Linked DNA regions of Xenopus tropicalis. The protein of the gene in region 3 purifies or fractionates together with the protein of the main gene of each other region. This does not show direct contact. Links are inferred from orthologs where the notes say so. Each region holds a gene or a part of one and is shown on either strand. Other genes may lie near its edges. The genes, in order: suds3, sin3b, rbbp7, arid4a, sap130, sap30l and mtf2.

Evidence for each region.
Region 1: the proteins of rbbp7 (region 3) and suds3 purify together in Homo sapiens (affinity purification with mass spectrometry; 3 studies listed by BioGRID and IntAct, counting the BioPlex papers as one, with this or other methods). This does not show direct contact. The link is inferred for Xenopus tropicalis from reciprocal best matches to the Homo sapiens genes RBBP7 and SUDS3.
Region 2: the proteins of rbbp7 (region 3) and sin3b purify together in Homo sapiens (affinity purification with mass spectrometry; 5 studies listed by BioGRID and IntAct, counting the BioPlex papers as one, with this or other methods). This does not show direct contact. The link is inferred for Xenopus tropicalis from reciprocal best matches to the Homo sapiens genes RBBP7 and SIN3B.
Region 4: the proteins of rbbp7 (region 3) and arid4a purify together in Homo sapiens (affinity purification with mass spectrometry; 4 studies listed by BioGRID and IntAct, counting the BioPlex papers as one, with this or other methods). This does not show direct contact. The link is inferred for Xenopus tropicalis from reciprocal best matches to the Homo sapiens genes RBBP7 and ARID4A.
Region 5: the proteins of rbbp7 (region 3) and sap130 purify together in Homo sapiens (affinity purification with mass spectrometry; 3 studies listed by BioGRID and IntAct, counting the BioPlex papers as one, with this or other methods). This does not show direct contact. The link is inferred for Xenopus tropicalis from reciprocal best matches to the Homo sapiens genes RBBP7 and SAP130.
Region 6: the proteins of rbbp7 (region 3) and sap30l purify together in Homo sapiens (affinity purification with mass spectrometry; 3 studies listed by BioGRID and IntAct, counting the BioPlex papers as one, with this or other methods). This does not show direct contact. The link is inferred for Xenopus tropicalis from reciprocal best matches to the Homo sapiens genes RBBP7 and SAP30L.
Region 7: the proteins of rbbp7 (region 3) and mtf2 purify together in Homo sapiens (affinity purification with mass spectrometry; 4 studies listed by BioGRID and IntAct, counting the BioPlex papers as one, with this or other methods). This does not show direct contact. The link is inferred for Xenopus tropicalis from reciprocal best matches to the Homo sapiens genes RBBP7 and MTF2.

What each region holds. Positions count from the first base shown.
Region 1 is NC_030677.2:165,508,454-165,511,953, reverse strand, and holds part of suds3 (sin3 histone deacetylase corepressor complex component SDS3), read right to left. Parts: coding exon 3,482-3,500; intron 2,005-3,481; coding exon 1,909-2,004; intron 676-1,908; coding exon 614-675; intron 1-613.
Region 2 is NC_030677.2:111,966,178-111,969,677, reverse strand, and holds part of sin3b (paired amphipathic helix protein Sin3b), read right to left. Parts: intron 2,887-3,500; coding exon 2,676-2,886; intron 2,052-2,675; coding exon 1,935-2,051; intron 1,631-1,934; coding exon 1,392-1,630; intron 1,234-1,391; coding exon 1,050-1,233; intron 1-1,049.
Region 3 is NC_030678.2:94,684,588-94,687,612, forward strand, and holds the end of rbbp7 (histone-binding protein RBBP7), read right to left. Parts: coding exon 2,977-3,025; intron 2,888-2,976; coding exon 2,811-2,887; intron 1,999-2,810; coding exon 1,941-1,998; intron 1,322-1,940; coding exon 1,211-1,321; intron 781-1,210; coding exon 712-780; 3' UTR 501-711; downstream 1-500. UniProt on the Homo sapiens protein: Core histone-binding subunit that may target chromatin remodeling factors, histone acetyltransferases and histone deacetylases to their histone substrates in a manner that is regulated by nucleosomal DNA.
Region 4 is NC_030684.2:103,522,562-103,526,061, forward strand, and holds part of arid4a (AT-rich interactive domain-containing protein 4A), read right to left. Parts: intron 3,485-3,500; coding exon 3,284-3,484; intron 2,460-3,283; coding exon 2,375-2,459; intron 2,173-2,374; coding exon 1,980-2,172; intron 1,855-1,979; coding exon 1,792-1,854; intron 322-1,791; coding exon 1-321.
Region 5 is NC_030681.2:125,407,837-125,411,336, forward strand, and holds part of sap130 (histone deacetylase complex subunit SAP130), read right to left. Parts: coding exon 3,421-3,500; intron 3,337-3,420; coding exon 3,209-3,336; intron 2,514-3,208; coding exon 2,389-2,513; intron 1,774-2,388; coding exon 1,623-1,773; intron 672-1,622; coding exon 581-671; intron 433-580; coding exon 328-432; intron 1-327. UniProt on the Homo sapiens protein: Acts as a transcriptional repressor. May function in the assembly and/or enzymatic activity of the mSin3A corepressor complex or in mediating interactions between the complex and other regulatory complexes.
Region 6 is NC_030679.2:19,589,912-19,594,123, forward strand, and holds the start of sap30l (histone deacetylase complex subunit SAP30L), read left to right. Parts: upstream 1-1,412; 5' UTR 1,413-1,431; coding exon 1,432-1,623; intron 1,624-3,435; coding exon 3,436-3,558; intron 3,559-4,212.
Region 7 is NC_030680.2:104,201,370-104,204,869, forward strand, and holds part of mtf2 (metal-response element-binding transcription factor 2), read right to left. Parts: intron 2,396-3,500; coding exon 2,328-2,395; intron 1,453-2,327; coding exon 1,285-1,452; intron 800-1,284; coding exon 688-799; intron 1-687. UniProt on the Homo sapiens protein: Polycomb group (PcG) protein that specifically binds histone H3 trimethylated at 'Lys-36' (H3K36me3) and recruits the PRC2 complex, thus enhancing PRC2 H3K27me3 methylation activity.

The DNA.
Region 1 (3,500 bases), on a different chromosome or scaffold from region 3:
AATAGCTGCATGTCATTCAGACAGAAGGTTAGGGAGTGCCAGGGCCAGGAGGCACCAGACAGCCATATACTTAACATCTGTTTGTAGCAGACGTTACGTTCCTTACTCTACTCAGCACCCTGCACCAGAATTTTTTATTCAGTACAAGATGAATACAGCTTGCTCCTTCTATGCCATGGGTGAAAATGCACTGTGGATGGGCCTAAATGGCTGCAATTTTGGGGGATAGGATTGCTAAATGAGCCACACTGTCAGGAATGCCTAGCTTGCAGAATGCAAGAGACAGGAGATACTGTAACACTGTACAGTGTTTTGGTACATTGTAAGGCTAAAAAATGAAGCCCCATGTTAACCACTTAATACATTTGTTTAGAAATAACTAGAAAAATAATACTAAACTTAACTCTGGAGTTCAACTTAGTTGCCATACTGCACTCTTAGAAGCAAGGGGAAACATCATGAAGGTGTGCCACTACTACCTAGCTCCATGGTAACAACCACTGGTAAATTGACAGTCAGTCAACATAGAGCATGAAGATCTTTAGGTTTTTAGTGCTGTAATAAAACACAAAGATCAATGTAATCTCCCTTTATGCAATGTAACCAGACTCACCTTGTTTAAGATTCGTAAATCCTCCATGATTTGTTCATCTGTTAGCAGATAATTTAGCTGGGGTGCCAAGAATTAAGTCATAGTTCACAATGAGAAGTATATAAAAAAAAAAACGTTCCAAACAGATATATCTCTAGAAATTACACATGTAAATTTAACTATAACAATTCACAAAAATTCTTAAAACAAGCCTCAAATGTGACCCAGATACACCCCCATCCCTATAATGCAAATTGTAGGTTTGTTACCTACAATAAACATCATGATGTGTATTTACAATACTTGTTCTTGCATGATAATTCCTTAGCTCAATGATGTGTCATTAAACTGACATTATAAGGAAAACCCAAGCATCATTTTCCTCTACCACTGCACCTGCATTCTGCCATTTCCAGAACAATATATGGTATCTTTCATATACATAATTAGTATGGCAACTGACATGTAATGGAATAAAAAGTAAGTGTCCAGATATATAAAGCTGTGTGCACAATACCTTACCTAAAAGTAATTAACTGAAAAAGTAATTCTGGCCCTACTCTAAAATAGGGTAAATTTATAGCACTTTTTTTTTTTTTACTAAACAAAGTCTATTAAAAGGTGATCTCCCATGGGCTAATGGTATATACATTTTTTTTTTTTTTAATTTATCAATTTAGTGCGTGTGTTTTTATCCATCTAATGGTGAAGACACAAAGAGCTATTAGTAGCAGCTACTTTGTCACGGCTGCTAAACGCCAAAAAATACCCTGCCATAGACAATACTGAGAATTGCCTCTGCTAAAAAACATGTTGAGACCGTTATCAGTAAATGATCGGCATTGTCTATTTTAGTAGCCACTACAAGTAGCTGCTACTAGTAGCTCCATGTGTCTTCACCCTAAGGGCAGTTGTAAACGGGAGATTAGTCGATCCGCAACAAATCTTTGTTGTCATGGGGACAAATCTCCCCGCAATGCCATCCCACCAGTTGGAATGTAAATCGCTGGAAGGATGGTATACGCTGCGCTGCAATGTCCAGCAGTCGCACGTACACGTAATAGGGAACATAGATCGGAAGCTCCACTGGGGCATGGACTGTTATGACTGAAGGACAACTTCAGAAAGAGCTGCATAATCATGGCTGTGTTGTATACACGATAAAGTATGTCAAAGTCAGTCATGATAATGATTCATTTTATCAAAGTCAGTCAAAGCATCCCACTAACCGTGGGATACTTTTTTTGCTGTTTAACATCTGAAAAGCTGTCTGTGTGGCCTATAGTCATGAAATATTAAGTATTTGCAAAAGATATCAGGAGCAGGTTTTCTTCTTTTGTCTGGAATTGGCACTGGATCATTCGGCCTTCTTCGTAATTTACGTGTCATAATAGGCTTCACTTCCATGGAATCTGTAGATGGGGAGAGGACGATAAATACCACTCCTTGGCATGAGCTCATATTACTTACACAACTGCATGGGAGCATGGGCTAAAATACTGTTTGTTACAATTTGAACGTCATGCAATTCTGCAGGACCAACAAAATAAACAGTTTTAATCGTTAAGATGCATATTCAAATCTGGAAAAAAAATCCATTTTTATTTTCAGAAGAAAACAGAAGAGGAGCTCGAACAAATATATAAAACAAAATGTTCTATTGTAATAGTAATGTGTAACCTAAACAGGACATACTAAAAATAATCTCATAACATAAACCGATAACACTACTGCAATCTTCCTAACAGTGAAGGGCACGTAATTCATATAGTATGATGTGTATGGTTATCCTGAAGGCTTTTTGGCCCCTCAGCAAAAAAAACTACTCTCTCTTTTCATCACCCAATGATAAGAAATGATCAGAAAATATATGGAATTTTAGGGCCAAAGTTAATTTTAGGCATTACTACCAGTCAGAGATACTGGTCTCCTCTATTTGACTACTTAAAAATATAGCATAGAAATTTGGAAGCTTGGATTTGTGAAGTGTGGGTAAATAATGCAATGTTGGGCTAGTCCTAAAAATCCCGATGCCTGAGTTTTAGTGATGATGCTTTGAATAAGTGCGCAAATAAAGAAAAAAGGAGGGGTGACAGTGAAAAGAAGATCCCAGAACTGGAGACTCAATAACTGCTTTGATAAAACAACTTTCAAATCTACCATGATCAGTTATAAAAATGGCTGGGTTAGTAAAGGTTAAGCTATGGTAGTCCAAATGGGTTATGCACAAGTTTCTGTCTGCCCTTTATCCAATACAAGGAGTGATCCCAGAAACCCCTTTGGGATGGAAGAGGGGTTATTATTTGAGCAAGTATTAACTATCATTTCTATACTAAGGGGTCTATTCATCAAAGTACGAGTTTGAATCCCAAATTGGGAAAAATTTGGATTAAATATGATAATTTCTGATAAATGCAAATATCACGAAAACGCTTACGGGAAAAATCGCATTAGTCACGATAATATCATATTGGTGATCCGAAAGTCACCAAAATTTTCGTATCCGAACGATCGTAAACAGCAGGAAAACCTTTCTGACTTTGATTCTTCTGTGCTTAATTTTGGAAGCCTCCCATAGGACTCAAAGGCACTCAGCAGCTCCAACCTGGCCCAAGGAAAGTCACTATACCGAAGCTTGAATGAATCCGAAACTTTCTTACTCGTCACAACAATACGATTTTGTTGCAAAGTACGAAAAAGTTGCGCAAAATACAAAAAAGTTGCCGAAAATACCCACAGTACGATCAAATACGAATTTTTTGTAATTCGTACCTGTCGTACTTGAATAAATAGGCCCCACAGTGTATAGAATACAAAAACTGTTTGCACTTAACTCATTTACAGTGAATTGAAATGTTTCACTTTATTTTCAGCAAAGATTCATCTTACCTCCAGTCAATTCCATTGT
Region 2 (3,500 bases), on a different chromosome or scaffold from region 3:
AAAGAAAGCGAGTTACATGCACATCAAAATTGATCTTTTATTCAAATGATTCCAAGCTAGCTGCTAACTGATCCAGAGGAAGCAAAGACACCCAAAGCTGGCTCCAGCTTGCCTCAGAAAGGTATAAATTTCCTTTGCAATTTTAAAACACCAACTGTATCAGTCCTTGGATCTAAACTACTCTGACACTTAACCTGTTTTATAGAACATACACTGACCTGAAAAGCAAGTGAATAATACCTAATTAGCATGAATTCTATTAGGGCCGTGACAGACAGGGATATTAGTCGCCCGCAACAAATCTCCCTTGTAGCTCTGATAAACTTCAGTCACACTTAACTGCTGCGCTGCAAGTTGGAGTGATATCACCTCCCAACCTTTCCCCACCCCAGCAGCCGATCAGCAGAACAATAGGAAAGTAGTAAGATAACACATCCCTAAAGGTGGCCATACACGGACCGATTTTTTACTTACAAACGACCGATTCCCGAACGATCCGATGCTATCGTTAAGTTATCGTATAGTTGGTGGTGTACGAACGATCGTCGGCCCACTAAACGAGCCGACATTATCGTCCCCAAAATCGATCGGCCAGGTTTAAAAATTTTGGTCGTTTAACGATAAAATCTGCCAGTTGGTGTGAGTGTCAGACATTTGTCTTTCAACGATTGTTCTCTGCGCATGTCACGATTGCCAGCAACGACATCGATCGTACGTAGATGTACGATCGTAGGTATTTTACGATAATGATGCGACAAAATCTTTCCCGAATTATCGTTGCCCGTGGATGGCATATCGTATGGGAACTCGATCGCCATACGATCGTTTGTCGATATAATCATTCATCGCACAACGAGCGAAATCGCCTCGTGTATGGCCACCTTAACACCTGTATTTCTTAGGATAATTATTTGTAATGTATACCATGTAATATAGTAATAAGAACTACACCATAAAAATCATGACAGGTTTTTCCTGGCGCTATACAAATTATGGACATCCAAAAAATTCACCTGCTTAAAATCATATTTACATATTTTATCACTCACCTCATCATAGACACTTTCTATCTCGTTAAGCAAGCTTTTGGAGCGCAGGGCTTTTGTGTCATTCTGCTTAAAATTGACAGCCTGGTGGTCTAAAGACTTCAAGTATGCCCTTTCATACTGCTCTCGCCATATCTTGTTAAAGCCCCGCTGTGCTTCCCGCCACTCCTCTTCTTTTGCTTTCAGTCTGTGAAACAAGCAGGATTTAAAGGCATGTAGGAGATTTTGCTGAGATATTGTTCTTACTCTGCCCTTGTACTTAAACTTTATTGTATAATAAAGTCACAGCTAAATAAGGATTGGCCCTAAAAATATATAAACTATATACTAGACCCAATTTCTCACCTCTTTAATACTACAGGTACAGCAGTAACTGGGTTTTTCTTTAGACTCTCTACAATATCTGGAGCTTTGTCCCCATATATTCTGTAGATTGCCCTGCGTTGTATAACCTCTGAAGTGCCTCCCAAGCGGTCATCTAGCCTGAACTTTTCCTGATCTTCAGGAGACATGCGGGAGAGTTTCTTTTGGACACTTTCAAGCACACGAATGGTAGCCAAATTGGTTTCCAAAACAACATCCAGCTATTAATGAGAAGGAAAGAAGTCAATGGAACAGAAAACTGCAACAGTTTAAGAAAAAAATGGAACCGCCAAAACATAAAAGGCCTTATTGTACACAATTAGAAAAAAAAAAAGTTACATTTGTTAAATTGGTTGTAAACATTTTCAACAGCTGGTAAAGGCTAGTTTTAAAAATGCTTCAAACTACAGGAAATATATAAAATACATACATCATGAAGGCAAAAAAAGGCAGTAGGAGTAAAATAAAGAAGCAGCATGAGCTGGGCAAGTCCAGTGAAACCTTATGTTAGCATTTGTGGCTTACCTCAAACCTCTCATCTTCACAGCGGTGAAGCTGCTCCTCATATGGAGTCTTTTTGGAACTCACAAAAGTAGAATCTTCAGACCACGAAGGAAATGACACCCAGGTGTCATTTAATACCTGCAAAAGAGGATGGACACATTTTTACTTTATTAATGCCAGCATGGGGAGGTACATGTACTGAAAGCAATACTGTATATGGAAAGCAGATATCCCAGATTATGGAGGAAAACATGTATACCTACATTCCTGTGGGTTCTGCAACTAACTACTATAGGTCCAAATTTTAAAAATTAAAGGTATTATTTTAAGGAGGCACAAGTGGAAAAAATGAATAACTGTCTGACAAGTGCACTTTTAGTATAAAACTTGCCATGTATTTCATGATAAAAAGTCTGGTAGCTACGTGGTCTGTAACCAGGGAGAAGGTGGTGCAGATCTTCCTGTATTTCGGAAGCAAAGGATGTGCAAGATTCTATACTAATGGAAGGCCATTTGTGTCAAGATATACAAATGGGTTTAGAATATAAATGTATTATGTTTATTTACATTTTATTTAATTTGATGTTTAGATTTTGTGAATATATTCCTTTTGTTTGTAATCAATCCTTTATTGATGTTAAAAGCCTTTGGAAATACTAAACAGATATTCAAATTCTTGTAGGTTAAAAAATATACAACAAGATGCCTAGCGATACTATGATTTGTAACCCAGAATTGGTTTACACTGAGAAACTGAATTACCTCCTTGCAGAGTGCAGTCCTCCCACTGCATTTTGGGTGTGGAAAAGATTTGGGTAGAGCACGGTAACTGGAGCCAATGCGCTTGCAGGATGCATAATCGATCTCCCGCCCAATGCCCTCATTGGAGCGGTCGTTTGTTACTGGTGAAGCAAACGAAAGCTCTTTAACACCCAAGAAAGACTTGAACTGTGCAAAGAGTTCAGGAAACTTTCTGAAAAGCACACAGAAACACAGAAGAAGAAGTTAACTATTTATTCTACATGCAAAAAAAAGAGTCCTATAATATTAGCATGGGCAGATTCATTCTAAAGGATTCAACTATTACCCCATTTCTTCCTTATGCAAAAGATACTTGTTGGTGAATCACCTAGAGGCCTGAAAATAACTCACAATTATAAAAACTGAGCAAACAGGAGGACCCAAAAGTATATTAAAAAAAAAAAAAAAATCACACGGTCTTCATGAAAACCAATAAAAGCCTTTGTGCCTCTAAACAATGGGTTTGGGGAGCCCTCACCAAAACCAATGACAAAGCTCGATGACTGTCACTCCTTTCTAATATTTTCATTTACACAGGGATTGGTGGTCAGTTTAAGTGGCAGGCCTGGGGCACCCACCCCACCCCCAGAGCATTTTAATCTCCCAGTGGCTATTGTTTAACTATTTGGAAACCAGCATTTTTAAATCTGATGTCTAAGGCTTGTGCAGGAGGGCCTCTCACTTGGCTGTGTTCATACACCTTTTAAACTTTAATAACTAGTCTCTAACATTAATATAGGTGGCAATACCACTGAGGGCACCATAATTAGGGGACCATCGATGCAG
Region 3 (3,025 bases):
ATCACATTGTTTTAAGTGTTTGTAATAAAGTTTTGGCTGAATATTAGTGATTTGGTGAATCCAGGAACCAGAAAAAAAATACAAAATTGTAACTTCTGAGCTACATTACTTTTTTTTTACAATCCAAGTTTTTTGTGATCTCTAAAAAGGACAAAACAGAGTATTTCAAGGGGCATTGTTTCATATTTTGTAAAGGTCTTTCACAAATGTAAATCTGGCATTTTATCTACTCATTTCTGTACATGTAAGTAAATATGAATGTTTAATAGAACAGTGTCTTTTTTCTTTGCATAGCCAACTCGAATATCCATTACCTGCCTCTCACACACACAAAATCCCCTTTAAATGGACTTAGACAATCTCCAATCTTTACACATACAATTCTTTTAAATTGTCCTGCCCTGAGACCACTGTGCCATGGTGTTTGGTGCCATGTGTTTTAAGGCGAACATTAATGTGCAAACTTTGTACTTTCCCCCCCAAAATACAAAATGTTAAGATTGTTATTAATTTTTTTTTTTTATTCCATCAGCCGCTTCAGCGAGTCCCCCAGGTATCCAATACAAAGAGCAAGAATATTACAATACAATTTACAAAGAAAATGTCAATACATGTACTCAGAATTGCAAATTAACTTACACAAACATTAACCACGTCACAAATGTGGCAGCATCTGCAATAGTGAGTGTGAATAAGAAAAAGGAAAAAGATCTATGATCCTTGAGCTTCTAGCTCAGAAGCTGGTATGTCAGGTTCTTCATCATTGTAAATATTTTCAGCCTGCAAGAAATAGAGTTAATAGTTTATTAATGAATCAGACAACAGCAGATACAAAAGTACTGAACTGATCATCTAGGTGTATCTCAACAAGAGTCAGCGATTTGCAATAAGTAACTGCTAAAACAAAGACAAATGTAGGTTGAGGAAGCAAATTCAAAACACTGATCATTTCACGATCTGGTAAAAAAAAAAAAAAAAAAGTCATGTCCCGCCTTTAGGCCACATGACATGAGAGGATATAGCCATGCAGTGGGCAGTGTTTTCACATTTATTGTTAGGATTCACCCGTCACTGTGGCTAAAAGTAGTTACAAATTTTATCAGCATGCTGCCACTTAATTGTTTCAGAAGAAAAAAAAAAGTTAAAATGGGTCAAAGGCTTTTTTCCCCCCTGTATTTTATGCTCATGTTGCTCCTATTTAATAACTCACCATCTGCCATATTTGCATGATGTTATCTTCAGACACTGAACATATCACCCATGGTTCATTTGGGTTCCAGCTGAAGTCAGAGATTTTTGCTGTGTGCCCTCCATGTATAAACTAAAAGACAAGTAACCATTTTATAACATCATTTATACTATTGGATAACACCTGAATCTAGAGTTTGAGATAAGGGGATCCCTTCTGTAAGTATGATCTTTATCTGCTAAACCATTACAGCGCATTCTAAGTTGACCAAATGCTGGGTGGGGGGGGGGGGGTATCTGAGATGTTCACACATCTGATTAGAATGTAATTTGTGATCATAATGAGAAATCTGCCAGTTAATGCTAAGAGATTAGCATAACGGCCATGTTTTACATTCAACCAATATATGACTGAAGCCCAGATTGTAGCCTAGCTAAGGTAAAATTGCTTATCAGAATGACCCTGAGCTTTTATGCTTACTACATAAACAGAAAGACTGTATGCTGTTATTTGAGGCAAGATGCCTTACTGAAAAACTCCCCACAATATGGGGTGCTCTACCCAGTACTGAAACCTTTGCATGTGTCATATGATCAATCAAGGCCTAAAATGATTTTGCCATAGGGCTTGGCTGCTGCTAGTGACGGTATTGGATGTAGCTTAAACAAACTTGTTAAGGGATGAAAAAGTATTGCCCATCCCACTTCTATAATTCCTAGTTACCCAATTCTAGTTCTCATCACAAACATACCAAAAGCTCAGGAGGTCCATCCTCAGCATCTTCTGCTGACTGCTCTTCTCCAATTTTACTGTCAGAAAGGTAAATAAAAAGACAAACAGTGAACACATACTCTTTGCCATGAACCACACACTTTTCTATTTAAGCTCCAACACAGTATTTCTTATTTGTTCAGACTCCTTTAAAACAATAATCCCATTTAAGGGGAAAATAGTAAATGCTGCATCACTCTCCCTGATTGTACTGTATCAGTACCAGACTTCTCCTGTATATTACACTTATTTCACAATTCCTAATGTTGAAACCATGCTTAGGACATTACTAGTATTAATCAAAACGTGTGATTTTACAGTTTTTACTGCACAAAAAAAAGTCCTTGCATGAAAAGGGCAGGTTATAGTGTGGCTTACTCAAAGCTTCACATTATTATCACAATAGGCTAGTGATCCCCAACCAGTGGCTCGGGGGCAACATGTTGCTCACCAATCCCTTGGATGTTGCTCTCAGTGCCCCCAAACTAGGTAGTTATTTTTGAATTCCTGACTTGGGGGCAAGTTTTGGTTGAATAAAAACAAGATTTATTACCAGATAAAGCCTCCTGTAAGATGATGGTGTACATAGAGGCTACCTAATAGCCAATCTTAGCCCTTATTTGACACCTCGATGAACTTTTATGAGGATTGTGTTGCTCTTTTTACATTTGACTGTGGCTCATTAGTAATAAAGTTTGGAGACCTCTGCAATAGGCCATAGACAAATGGAGACTTTTGCATTGGGCTGCAAAAATATTTTTTTACTTCTGTGGAAGAGCAGTTTTTCTACTGTAATTTTCCAATAAAATATGAACATGCCAGACCATATTTTACAAGATATGAAAATCACCTTAAATCCCAGACATTAAGTCTTCGATCTGTACCGCTGGAAGCTAAAATAGTTTCATTATGAGGAGACCAGTGAACCTAGAGAGGATTATAGAAAATATAATTACAACATTACAACATTTATTTGGTAATACGAGTCCAGATATAATGATGGGGTTAAAACAAACCTGGAAAATTTCATCCTTATGAGATTCGAAGGAATGGAGCTTCAGCTTT
Region 4 (3,500 bases), on a different chromosome or scaffold from region 3:
TTGTTTTACTTCTCCTTCCCTTGGACTTTGGCAGATGTTCTGCCTCCTTTATTTCTTCCAATTCTTCTGTTTGCTTTCCGTAAATCTGAACGATTTGTTCACTTTCCTCCACTTCTTGTTTTAAAGTTTCTGCTGGCTTTGTTGGACTGTGTTCCGGATCTTTTAGAAGACAAATTACTGGCGGCACTTCCTTTACAGGACTGATATCAACTAGGCTTAAAATGTTCTCTGGTTCTTCTTCAGCCTTTGGTAGGACCTCCTCCTCTTTTACTGATGCCTTTTCTGATGTTTCATCAGATTCACTTTCAGATGTGCTTGAGTCTGGGATGGGAAATAATAAACAAGAGTTAGAAGAGGCATGTTAATGATATCTTTTGAAATAAAACTGAATTGTAAAAATGTCTTTGCTGGTAATTCAAAATGTTTAAGGCATATTAATAAATATATTAATAAGGATCAAATTATTCTTCTTAACAGTGCTTAGTCATTCTATAGCTTATAAAAGCTTATAACAACTCCATGTAACATTAATATAAGAATAAATGCATCCGTTTGCATAATAAGGATCAGGCACATTTCTGTTTCATGATCTGTATAGTGTTGCTTTTAGTATGCTTACCATGACATAATCATGTCTGATTGGTCAAAAGATGTGAGCAACGCTATTTTTGTGTGAGCAACATGTTTTTTTTGCTCTAGAGCTTAAGCTACATTTATGGCTATGATTATTTGGATCTTAACTGAAAACAGTAACAGACTACATGTTTCTTAACAAAATGGCAGAATAAGCCACCAAAAATTCAAACTAATTAGAGAAGCCATCATGTTGGTTTAAAAAGTGCAATCATAAAGGTTAAAGGAGCAGTTCAGTATTAAAATGAAACTGGGTAAAATATAAAAGTTTTCAATATAGATAGACATCTGCCTTTATAGATTATATTTTTGCCTAACATAATGGCCAGAGCTCTACTTCCTCCTTTACAGCTTTCTAAGCCGTTAGCAGTCAGTAACCAATCATTGACTTGAGGGGGGCCATAAAGGACATACCTGTTTAGTTAGTTTGCATTTGAATCTGACCTTCATGCTCACAAACTAAATGAACAGTTATGTCCCATGTGGCCCCCCCCTAAAGTCACTGACTAAAGGTGGCCACACACGTGGCGATTTCCGATCTTTCGTGCGACCATCGGTCGGCCACAGATAAGGAGGTAGAAACAATAGGATTTCTACCTCCTTCTGCCGATTCAGCCCTTAAGGCAGATTTTGATCAGGCGCCTTCTAACCTGGCCGATCGGCGAGTCGACCGATATCAGCAGCCTCTTGCGATATCAGTCGACTCGCCATACACATACTGAATATCATACGAAACGGGGTTTCGTACGATATTATCGGTGCGTGTATGGCCAGCTTAAGAGGTTAGAAAGCTGAAAGTAGGAAGTAATGTTCTGGCTAGAATGTTAGACATCTGTCCACTCAAAGATATAGGTTGTTTGTAAATAGCCTATTACTCGAAAGATTAGGCTGTACCCATCTTATAGCTTACCCTCTTCTTTGAGTATTCCAATAAACTCATTAAACTCATAAGCTATTTACTGATTATGGGTCTCATCTAGGATTTTGTTTCTATTCTCAAGTGGGTATTATTCAGCAAAAACAATATCAAAAGAATGTGATATACCGAAAAATAATCAAAGAATGACAACTGGGTGTGCAAGAACTACTAAAATACTATCAAAATATGTGGTAGCTATAAAAGTCATAATGAAAATGCTCTGGTTACCCAATACCCACCATTTGAGCATCTGTCAGAATCATATAATCCAGAGCTCCTCCTTGTTCTTCTCCTGGCTGATCCTATTATACAAAGGAAAATATAATAACTAAGTAAAATGAAAATACATATGAACAAACAGTATACATTTTAAACAATGCTTGTAACCTAAGCCCTTCATTATGACTTTTATTTGCACTACATTTACCTTCTAGCCCATTTGATAATGAGGAGCTATCCGATAAGCTATTTCTCATGTTTTTAACGGATGTCTTGCCCTCGCTAGTCGGAGTTTTTGGCAGACCACAGGTCATATTAGTCTGATGAGCTGACTTTAAAGGAGGACGGCCTCGTTTTGATCGCTTATCATCCTCTTTCTTTTCTTCATTTTCATCTTTATTCTGGCAGGGAAATAATAAATTAAAATAAATAATGTATATAAATTAAAGACTCAGAAAAATCCACAGACAAGATAAACATATTTTCAAAAAGGGGTTGTTCTGGCCCTCTAAAATTTGTATGGTTTATTCCTCACTTTTTAAGCAGAAAGACTCATGGAACATGGTAAATGGTTAATTAAAAAAAAAATTGTTTTGTAATTACTTTTGTTTTTTTCTTTTGCTTTTTCTTTGGTCCACCCTTGTCTGAAGGCCAGATGATTCTGTCAGCTTTTACCCATTCATCATATCTGCAAGAGAGTACATTATCATGCTACTGAAACAAAACTATATGCTGTAGGACATTGCCTCTTAGATAACAAAGTGTAAACATTGAAAGCAAAAGGAATAAGCTAAGCCTAGCTGTGGTTTATAAAACCTCCAAGTATAATATCAGATGGGGTGTATTGACTGCCAGTGTCAAGAGGAATTTTTATTTAGCCTGTGCTTTCCAAAATCTTGTCTGAACAGACTGAATGTGACCCAGTGTTGACAATGGCTCCAGTTCCTTCCTGCTTTCACTTTTTTCGATTCATGTAGTGCTGCTGCACCTATTAACGGAGGGGATTCCTGGCACTACTGGCACCTCCTGACCATGCGGTAGCTCCTGTGTCAATAGGTGCAGTAAGTTGCGCCTTTAGAACAAGGTGCAGGTGTCACTTGCTGATCCCTGCAAATGAGGCCAGACTCCCTTCTGTGCAATTCCATCCAATTTGGAAAATGCATGCACAGTTGCATTAATTCTGGCAAACCAGATGTAACTGCAGTTGCTGTGTAACTGCTGCAAGCACATTGCCCCCTTGCAACTGCAATGTCATTGGAATTCTGGGAAGAAATGGTGCACTGTGGGGAAAAAACAAAGCTACTGCATTTGCGAAGTAAAATGAGCCATACTGAGATTAAGAATTAAAAATTAACACCATTCAAAACGTTTCTCCCAACTGGTTACCTGGGGTTGACAGAAATTAGATGTTTTGACCAAACTGAGTAATAGTTGGCAGCATACAAATAATCAAATTAATACTTTGGTGGGGCACATATGGACAATAAAAAAAGCTACATTCTTCACACTTACCTTACATTCCAGCCATAATAATGAACCAGGTATAATAGCTCTCCTCCATCCACTTCCGTGCTTTTTATATTTGCCTCATAAATTTTCTGAGTTTTCCCACGCCCATACTTCACTTTAACTTTAGTTCCAGCGAGATAGTCTCGATCCTCTGTGTCTTCATCCTCTTCTTCAGTCTCTCCCTTGTGCTCAGAATCCTCTTTTCTATAAAAACAATAAA
Region 5 (3,500 bases), on a different chromosome or scaffold from region 3:
TCTTCATTTCCCAGGGTGCCACAGCCGTGTGGTCTGTGCTCTGAAACATCACATCACACTTTACTACTGCAACACTGCAAGTTGGAGTAATATTGTTAAAGTTGCGGTGACGCAATTCATTTCTATGGGCGGGAAGTCGCTGTGATTAGTCAGCCGCGACTGCGTTAATTAATAGTCGCGCCAACTAATTGCCCCCATGTGTGTCTTCGCCCTAAAGCCTATTCTACTTTTGCTTGCATTCGCAAGGATGACAATGATAACTAGCAAGCTCCTTTTTCCTATAAAATCACTGCATTTATTTACACACAACAGAACATTAGCACTTACCCACAGGAATGTTGGAGGCAGTCACTGCTGTAGCATGTGAAGAGTGAGTAGGCATTGTCATAGTAACAATGGCGCTCGTGGAAACTTGCGTGTGGGGAGCAGAACCTGAAAATGCAATAATAGACACACTGTTACTGCTCATGTCCCTGTTCACTAGAGTAAGGGTCTAAAACATAAGAAATATTTATAACAAAGGCCAAAAAGACAAAAAAAATGCATCTCTGTCTTCCAACTCTTTCAATGCCATACTGACCTGAAGTTGTCACAGAAGGGAGAGTGTTTGTTGCTAGAATTGGAGCCACTGTTGCTGCTGCTACTGGATTACCAGTTCCAAACAGAGTCTTCTACAGACAAAAAAAGACCTGTTAGCTAGAATGATTAGGACCTGGGGTTTACCAGATAATCTTTCCATAATTTGGATCTCCATACCTTAAGTCTACTAAAAAATAATTTAAAGGAGAAGGAAAGCTTAAGTCACTTGGGGGTGCCAAAATGTTAGGCACCCCCAAGTGACTTTAATCGCTTAACTTGTACCCCGGGCTAGTGCCCCTGTTAGGAGAAAACAGCACCAGCCCGGGGTAGCTGCGAGCGCTTCCTTCTTCCGCAGTGGCGCATTGCGCATGCACATTAGAGTGAAAAGCCGAATGTAAACAAGAAAGTCGGCTTTTCACTCTAATGCAAATGCGCCAGCCCAGGGATTTTGCCAGCAGAAGAAATGCGGAAGAAGGAAGCGCTCACTACAGGTACCCTGGGCTGGTGCGGTTTTCTCCTAACAGGGGCACCAGCCCGGGGTACAAGGTAAGCGATTAAAGTCACTTGGGGGTGCCTAACATTTTGGCACCCCCAAGTGACTTTGCCTTTCCTTCTCCTTTAAAACATAAATTAACCCCAACATAATTGATTTGCCTCTAAAAAGGAATTATTTAATTAAAATGGGGTCTACAGGAGATGGCCTTCCTGTAATTTGGAGCTTTTTGGATAATGAGATTCCAGATCTCATTCCTGTATTATGAATGAGCATAACTTAGCATAAATGATGATGATGGTTTCATAACCTGCAAGTCATTCTGTTAAAACACTTTTTCCCTCTTTCGACTTTTCATTGCAAATAGAATATTACCTTAAGATTATGCTACATATATTGGAGGAATGAAACTCAACCCCACAGAACTGCATTAATCACCCAACCTGAATTAACCATTCCACTGACTCATATAATGGATAAAACTAAACATTAAGTATAATCATACATTATAGGGAACTTTAACCATAGTTCAGTAGAAGACAAGGAATACCTGTGCCATTGCATGTAGCTGTGGCTTCTGAGCTCCTAAAGCAGGGTGTGTTGGCAGAGTAATGCGCGTGGTGGCTGCATCACGAGCCTGAGCTGATCTCTGGATACTGATTGCAGCAGGTGGTGGGTGTTGCTGGATAGACAGTGTTGGTCTGTTTCATATGGAGTCAAAAATATTAAATTTGATCAAAAATTGTAAACAATAAATGCTTTAACAGTTCTCAGACCAAATATAGTAAAATGCAAAAGGATTCCAAAATGTATATTACTAAACAGGCAAACTTTTTGGATGAAGGTTTATTTACTTTTACTTACTATTAAGTATCTCTGATACCATAACCTAGAGACCCACTATGGTGAGATTTGAGATAAACACTTCAGGATTGGATATTCTAGTAACTAAAACAAGATGATCTATATCATCATCATCCATACAACATTATTATAAGGGAATTAGGGGCCCTAAACAAATATTGTAAGACAAGAAAAAACAAACAAGTTTTGATTAAACTAAGGATTCGGGGGAATTTCAATCTTGCAAACAGTACTAGGATTCACCAATCAACAAACTGTCTTTAACTTTGTCCAGATTATAAAAAAGGTCAGTGTGCCAATAAATGGATGGGTAAAGTAAACATGCTAAATGGTGTTGATTTGTGAAAAATATAGCTGAAATTCTTAGTATAATGGCTAGTGATGGGTGAAAATTCGCAAAACGCCAATGAATTCGCTACATGCGGCTATCACATGACTTTTCTGGTGCTCACCTTAACACTGGCTCAGCAGCATGGGCTGGTGTAGTTGTTATGACTGGTGATTGCGCCCTAGTAGCCGATACTGTGGCTACCACAGCAGGAGTAACTGATGTTGTCGTTGTCACCGGAGGGCGAGACTGTAAAGATATAGAACATATATGTCAATATAGCAGCAAATGTCTGCCATTGTCTTAAAAAGAGTGAATATATAAAACATTTTATGAAGAACAGTAGTTAAGAGAGTAAGCTTAAAGGGGACCAGTCAGCCAGACATAAAAGCTGTATTATAAAAGTCCTTTTTGAATTAAACATGAAACCCAAATTTTTTTATAAACCCCTTTTTTTATAAACACATCCATACCCATTATAAAGGCATTTATCCTAGCTGTCAATCATAAATTGCCTGCCCTGCCTCTACGCCTAAGACCTAGCGGCATTTCCATTCAGCATTTCACTGCCCTCCTCACCATCTAATTGTGTAGCCAGTGCATGGGCATGTGCATGAGGTCCCCCATTTTGGCACATAAGATTCTGGCATGATGCAAAGCTTGCTTTAATAACGGTGTCCACAAAATGGGATTATGAATTTCAGGACTGAAGAAAACCAGATTTAAATAATTTATATAGTGTAAGTAAAGTTTATTCTAAAATGTGCTGAAGTTTTAAAGAAGCAATGGAGTGTAAACACTTTTAGGCCATTTTGATTTCCATGTGTTACTGGTCCTTTTTAATTGCCATCAACAGGTGGCAACACTCACAAGTCCTCTGTGGGTTATAATTTAAACAACATTGCAACAAGGAAAGACAGCATATGTAGTATTAAAATACATACCTGGATAGGGGGGTGAATAATGTGTTGAGTGGCTGATTGGGCAGCAACTGCGCTAGGTATCTGTGCTGAAGCTGGTCTTAACATAGTAGTCACTTTAGAGCTTGACATGACAGCTGCTGCAGCAGCTCCTAAGAACCAAAAAACAGAATGTGAATGAGGGATAAATGCAATGGTCACAGTGCACATCAGTCACAAAATCACTACTCATTTACCTCTGGGAAGATGAGAAGCTCCAATATGCAATGGAGGTCCTGGGGCACTACTACGGATAATTGACATCTGAACATTTGTG
Region 6 (4,212 bases), on a different chromosome or scaffold from region 3:
AAAAGGAACTAATATTGGACAGCTTGGTCTATATGTTGTCAATCTTTTATTACACACAATTTTTCAAGAAGGGGTTTGATACCTTTATTTCAAGTTCTGTTTCCCCAACATCATGGTTTGACAGAGGTTATGAACATGGCATTGCGGATGTGGATTGCAGAATGTTTGTGCTGAAAACCAGACAATTATTTTTATACTGGACATGTGGCATCCCTATCTAGGTCATGTAGTTAGGCAGGTTATATATAGGCATTATGGTTGAACGTGATGGACGTATGTCTTTTTTCAACCCAACTTACTATGCCTGAACATTGGTGAGGGGGCAATTTTTTAGGTTTCCCCCATTAAATGTAATCACTACCCGCCTATGTAGAACTGGCCCTCCGGTTCTGTAAAATACGTTCCAGCCCTGGGTCCTGTTGTGCAGAGCAGGCCACTGTTGTCTTTTTTCAGGGTTCTAGGTATCACTAGGAACCCATTAACCTTAATAGGGAAATACATATTAAATGTCGGAATGGGAATAAACAAAGGGCTGTCTTTCAATATAAAAATTTATGATATTGTCATTATTATTCTATATTTTCTGTAGCAACCACATATCCCACAGCTCTTAACGGAAATTAAACATCAGTCCCCAGCAAAGCTTACAATCCATGATCCCTCACGTTTGCACCTCCTATGGTTGGTTTTATCAAAAGCCAAATAACCTGCCTAAAGTTTTTTTGAGTTTGGGTGAAAACCATAGTTGCTGGTGGAGATCCAGACATGAGGATCAGAACAGGCAAACATGCAGCTAATGACCTGAGCCTCCCACTGCAAGTTAGGCAGCACTAGCACACTGTGCAGAGGGCAGAGATACCTATACCTTGTACACAAGTGCATTTTGAACTAGGACCAAGAGGTGCAATTTTACTCCACTTTATCTAGCAATAACATTAAGTACATCTGTATGTAAATAGGGCCCAGTTGTATCTACCCTGAAGTTATTAACAAAGAGCAGACAAGAAAATCACCTAGAAACTAAAACAAGTAGTAAGCCAAAAATAGCAATTTTTACAGCTCTGTTTTACTACCACAACAAACTATTTCCAGAAAAACTTTGTAAACAATTTATTTGGATATTTGTATCTTTCTCAAACATTTCCCATAGAATCCCACGGAGTTTTCTCGTAACCGGATGTAGAGCGTTCTGTTACGCAGTGACTGACGGCATAGCTGACCAATCACGTTTATTTCTAAGCTCCTAGTGCGAAGGTTCACTCATAGACGGAAAAGGCGTGTGCTTACGCACAGTAAAGGAGCGCAGGACTGACCAATCGTTGTTGCGACTTGGCTTCTGGTTCCCCGCCTCCTGTTTGCGATGTTCAATGAGCGTCGGGAGGCGGGCGGAACATCAGTTGTCAGGGTGCTGGCGGCTGCACAGCTTTGGGGATGAACGGATTCAGCACGGAGGAGGATAGCCGTGATGGGCCGCCGGCCCAGGCTGCACCATTCTTTGGACAGACCTGCTGCCTTATTGATGGCGGAGAGCGCTGTCCTCGGCCCGCTGGAAACGCGTCGTTCAGTAAGAGGGTGCAGAAGAGCATCTCACAGAAGAAGCTCAAACTCGACATCGATAAGAGTGTGAGTAGATCTTTACCCCCTTGGGCACTTTTAATGGGTTAGACTACAACTCCCAGCGTCCTCATAAAGCCTTGGGAACTAGAGGCTAACTGCAGTCAGGTTATGAGACCGGCGGCAACTAACGGTTTTGTGATTAAGGCTCATAGATCCTGTCCCCCATAGAAACATGAAGCAAATATATATAATTATACATAGAAATGCACTGGCACAGACTACAGTACATACACAGAGGGTTGGATAAACAGCCTTTTATAAGTTACTGCAGGAATAACACAGGTCCTATAGTACTATAAGGAGTATATTCTAGAGATAGAAGAAGGGGGCCCTTTGTGCTACTATGAGTGGCCCCTCTGTGGTATATAGGCTTGGTTATGCGGCTTTAAAGAGATACTGACACCAGAAATTAAACCTTTTTTTTACATCTATCATAACATTGTTTTTGCATGACCTTCATAAAAGTATTTACCCAATGCTTTTATATTACCTGTCTGATCCCACATGTTCTCCTATAAGGAGGCTGCCATATTTGTCCAGCCTTTAGCATTAGAAGATATAACTGACAGGCTGAGAAGGGACAGTCAGGTTGGCAAAACAGTCAGGTTTAGGAACTTCAAGTAACAATTAATTACAAAAGCAAATCTCTCAGCGAAAATCAATCAACATGACTTAAAGGCAACTTTTTATGTACATTCATATTTTGAGGAGTCATTTTTTAGTGTCAGTATCACTTTAAGGTGGAATCCAAGTTTTTTTTTTTCAGTCTTGGATCGTTCACTGTCCCAGGTAGCAGCAGAGTTTAATGACTTTAGGGGCAGTTAGTTGTGCCCCCTAACTGCCACATGGAGAAGTGTCCCTCAGTGCTACTGGGAGCAGATACTCTCCAGTATAAACACAATCACTGCTACACAGCCCCACAGAAACACAAGACCCCTCTCTGGGCAACAGGATTACCATTTTGTCCAATGGGCATTGTAGGAGCCCTATACCGCTACAGAGGCCTGATAATGTCCTAAATACACAGCAGGGGAGCCCTTAGTAGTTTACAGATCAGAGACAGTCCTGCTGAAAAAACACCTAATGTTATTGTTGCTCAGTGCAGGTTCCCTACAGAGCTTTGTATGGAAATGTTTACATACAAACAAATCTGTATTTGATCATGTGTTGTGTTTACATGTTGACAACGTTTCCTGTTCATTTAATAGTAGATAAGTTATATCCAGACAAGGAACAGAACCTCCTTAAATACTTAGATTTGTTTTGTAACTTTGTTATTAACGTATGTTAAATGCTTTTTGGAAAGCCCTTTGTTTTGGCTTTGCAGCAAGACCACATTGGGCTAAAGAACCACTTTTGAATCGCAGTAAAATAATCCTAGATCAGGTGATGCTGGGAGGTGTAGCAGTGGCACCCACACCAGCGCTAGACATGTTTGCAGGGCATTGAAACCTGTTAATTGCGGAGGTTGTTGAGTCCTGGGCCCACACTGCACTCTGGTGTAAAAGTAAAGGGACCAATGACAGCTTAAAGTGAATTATTGTCAGTTGTTTGGTTTACTGTCTTAAACAGTTAGTAACGTATTCTCCGTGCACCACTGAAGTAACTGCAGACTTACTGTGAAAATTTAATATATATTTTGTGATTTAAAGTTTTCCTGGATTTTACTCCATTTTTATTTGTAGTTGTTCCACTAATAAATAATGCATTTCCCTGATTTTACATTTTGCAGAATTTTAGACCATTTTTTCTTGGCTCCTGATAATCCTAAAATAGGGTTTCTACTCTATATGCTCATCTTTCCTACTTTATCTTCAGGTTCGGCACCTTTACATATGTGACTTTCACAAAAATTACATCCAGAGTGTTAGGAACAAAAGAAAGCGGAAAACCAGCGATGATGGGGGGGATTCTCCAGAGCACGAAACAGATGTCCCAGAGGTGAGTTCTTTTATGCTTTTAAATGCAACAACACATAGGGCGAATTCAATCATTCTGTCTTCTGGTTGTTTTATAGCTCTGTTGACAGGGGACAGAATGTTTAAAGGACAAGTCAACCCAAAATATAATTTTAAGCAACTTTGCAATAGACATTCATTACAAAATTGCAATGGGTTTTGACTTATATTTATATAGTATTGCAATTCGAGTTCAGCAAATGCTGCTTTCAATAGCAATTACATTTACAAATAACTTTTAAAGCACTAAAATGTTTCAATAAATTCACATTGGAAAGTTGCTTGGAATTATGGTTTCTTTTATTAGGAGAATTAATTTTGGGGGTTAAAATGTCCTTTAAAGTCGACACCCTTATTTACTTGAATGATATTTGCCTAGAAACACCAGGGTCGCTTACTTGAAGGCATTTGGTTTGACCCAGTCACCACCTATCAAGGAAGTGCACCATTTGTTTTTAGGCTAATCAAGTGAATTGAGGGGCAATATCAAGCATTTTGTCCCCTTGCCCTTTGTGCTATTCAACAACATGATCATTATAAAATCACACCAGGCAGTGGTTTCAAAGAGACCAAAGAGGAATGTGAATAGAACAAGACCTAAGTAGAAAGATAATTAATCAAAACTATTTAAAAGCTG
Region 7 (3,500 bases), on a different chromosome or scaffold from region 3:
TTAATAAGGATCTGAATACCTTTGCATGGCACTACATAGGAAACTAACTCACCTCACCTACTGTTTGTTGTATCGATACAGCAGGTTAAGCTTCACCTGCTTTCTGAGACAAAATGGAGAGGGACAGTGTGCATGGTCTGCTTAAAACAGCAGCAGAATACAGCAAGGTCCATGGGCAAGGCCTAAGGAGAGTGTTCAGTGCCCTCAAGAGCAGCTTCCTCAGGCAAGGTTGCAAACAGTTAATGCTGGCCAAGAATGTTTGATGTATGTGTGTATATTTTTATTGATACAGTGCTACTTATGCACACAGCACTGTGCAACAGAAGTTGACTGAGCACAGAGGGAATAACCTATTTGAAAGTCATTCAAGGTGGGGCCAGATACATTCCCTGGGCAGTAAGGAGGGATTTTAAGAATCAAGTCCCAAAGGAACATGGAGCACGTAGCCAGTAAAAAAAATAACAAAAAGACTGTTGATGAGTCCCTAGCTGTCCCAGGTACTTCATGTGTCACTGGAGGGCATGCAGAAGACAGCACTAACTAAAACAGAAACCTTAAAAAATACTAAACCTCTTCTATGCCTCATACCACACGATACACTCTGGTTTCATAAAAATGAGCTTCTGACTATTTTCAAAACAAGTTTACAACTATACTGCTCTTTGTATAGTATGAGAATGTTCTTACATTTGCCAGAGATGGGGTTTCACATGGCTCATTTTGCAAAATTTTTCTCCTGTGAGAACCTGGTGGTCTTCCAACTGGTTTCCTCTTTTTCACCTCACCATTGTTTATCTCTCTAAAATATAGTGGGTAAAAAATTGAAATAATGAGGACAAACATGTTTCTTGTCAGAAAGTTTATGCTTCACTTTTTCATGTACTAACATTTTCCTGCTTGTACTGATGTATTTTAATGTTACATGTTCTGCATAATGTTTTGTACCTATGCTGGCATTCTGGAGAGTAATAGCGTCATTGTAAGGCTTTTGTAAGAAAACTTAAGGCTAATGCCAGACGAGGCGTAGGGCGGATATTTTCGGCAAGCGGAAAAGTGCGTGCTGAAAATTCTGCCCTACACCTCCTACATGTGCCTGCACCTGAATGAATGAGATACGCTCATAAATTAATTTTCCATTTTCTTTTCTGCATTCACTGTGTGTCTTTGCCCTATTAGGTAAATTGCTTTAGGTATGAAGAATCCACACAAGTTTAAAAAAAAAAAAAAATCTATTTTCGGTTAAACAAGCACAATATGAATAATAAAAAGGATGGAGAATCTTACTTTGTGACAGGTGTAACCTTTGAAGACTTTCTGCCCTTAATCTTGAACTCATGAGATGTACTTTCCTCTTTTTCCATTTTAACTGCTGCATTAGGAGGCACTGGAGGAACTCTAATTCTCAAGCCAAACAAATGTTTCTTTTTCTTAATTTCTTTTCCAGACATAAACCTAACACAACATTCAATAAATACAGTGTTAATTTGTTACAAACAATGCACAGGTAGATTTCATTTGTACATAATACAATATGATACAATACAATATAATAGTCCCTGTTTATATATTTCCTACAGAATAACCTGTTTCAGTTTCATACTTCAAACTCCTTTGAAGTCCAAATGGTTGTTTAGCAGTCTACACGGTTTCTTGTTCATCTAATTACTCTTACACCAATGAACAGTAGAAACCATTTATAACATGCATTGTGCACCTGACAAATAGAAGACTAAACTCAAAACCCTAAAATAACAAGCAATGTTACTATTCAAAACCTTTCATTGCTAGATAAGAGCTATAGGAGGTGTGAACCTTTATACGGAGTGGCCCTTTTCCTATAACAAATGGTCTTTCTTAAGCACTTTCACAGCTCTGTATAGATTTTTGCCAGCAGTTAGGCTCAATGCCAAAAATTTTGTGTCTGTTCCCTAGATTTCAGGCCACCAAATGAACTTTAGACACATTTTTGGATGCAATTGTTTATACTTTATGTACTGAACTATAGCCCACTCACAGTGCTACTCATTCCACAGAAATTCTCCTTTTGCCATGGGATTTTATATGTATGTATACTTTTATTCTCCTTTATTTAATGAAACTTGGGTTATAATACGGTAAACTGTTGGCAGATACTTTTGTAATTGGCTTTCTCGCTTTATAAGTTTCTTATAAAGGAGTTCTACAGACTCTATTTTCTAAATATGTAAATGTATTTAATGGAGATCATATATATTAAACCAAAAGGTGCTAGTTTCCTAACCAACCATATATCAGCTGGATGTATTCGGATCATTTAAAACTAAACAGAATTAAAACAAATAACTTACATTGTTTTATTTTCATTTAATGCATCCAGAATATGTTCATATCTTTCTGATCTTGGTGTGTCAGCCAGCTGAAAGGATAAAACAGTCAGACCATAAAAACAAAATAATCAATAATGCTGAAAACACTAATGACTGATCACCCATCACATACAATTGGTTTAGACTGGTATTCATTGATAAAAGCTGCTAATTCGGTCCCTATTGGGCTGTGTATAGGGCCTTCTGATGTGCCTGTCCAATCAATATCTGTCTGAAAATTGGCCAGATATTGATCAGACAGGTTTAAAAATCATGTCAGCTTTGGCTTTCATTGGCTTGTTGATATGGTCCTTGCCCCAATAGCCTGCATTCCGTTGTTACTCTTATTTAGGAATGCAGATGTGGTTTGGCATTCAATTAAATCATCTTATGACTGTGGTCAGACATGAAAATGGATTCAATGCATTCCCAAGAGAAATCTACCACATCATAGAAAGAAACCAAACAAGTGCATCCATGAACACCAATTAAACATCAGGAGAAGGCAACAACCCAGCAGCAGGAACGCTACCTCCGCCTTTGTGCAAAGAGGAACATGAGAAGCACTGCCAAATGGAGAAGTCCTGCAAAATGACCTCCAGTGGGTCACAAATGTGTATGTGTCTGCTCAGTCAGAAACAGACTCCATGAGGGTGGTATGAGGGCCCAACGTTCACAGGTGGGGGTTGCACTTACAGCCCAACACCGTGCAGGACGTTTGGCATTTGCCAGAGAACAACAAGATTGGCAAATTCGCCACTGGCGCCCCCGTGCTCTTCGAAGATGAAAGCAGGTTCACACTGAGCACATGTGACAGACGTGACAGAGTCTGGAGACGCCGTGAAGAACGTTCCGCTGCCTGCAACATCCTCCAGCATGACCAGTTTGGTAGTGGGTCAGTAATGGTGTGGGGTGGCATTTCTTTGGGGGCCGCACAGCCCTCCATGTGCTCGTCAGAGGTAGCCTGACTGCCATTAGGTACCAAGATGAGATCCTCAGACCCCTTGTGAGACCATATGCTAGTGCGGTTGGCCCTGGGTTCCTCCTAATGCAAGACAATGCTAGACCTCATGTGGCTGGAGTGTGTCAGCAGTTCTTGCAAGACGAAGGCATTGATGCTATGGACTGGAACTCCCGTTCCCCAGACCTGAATCC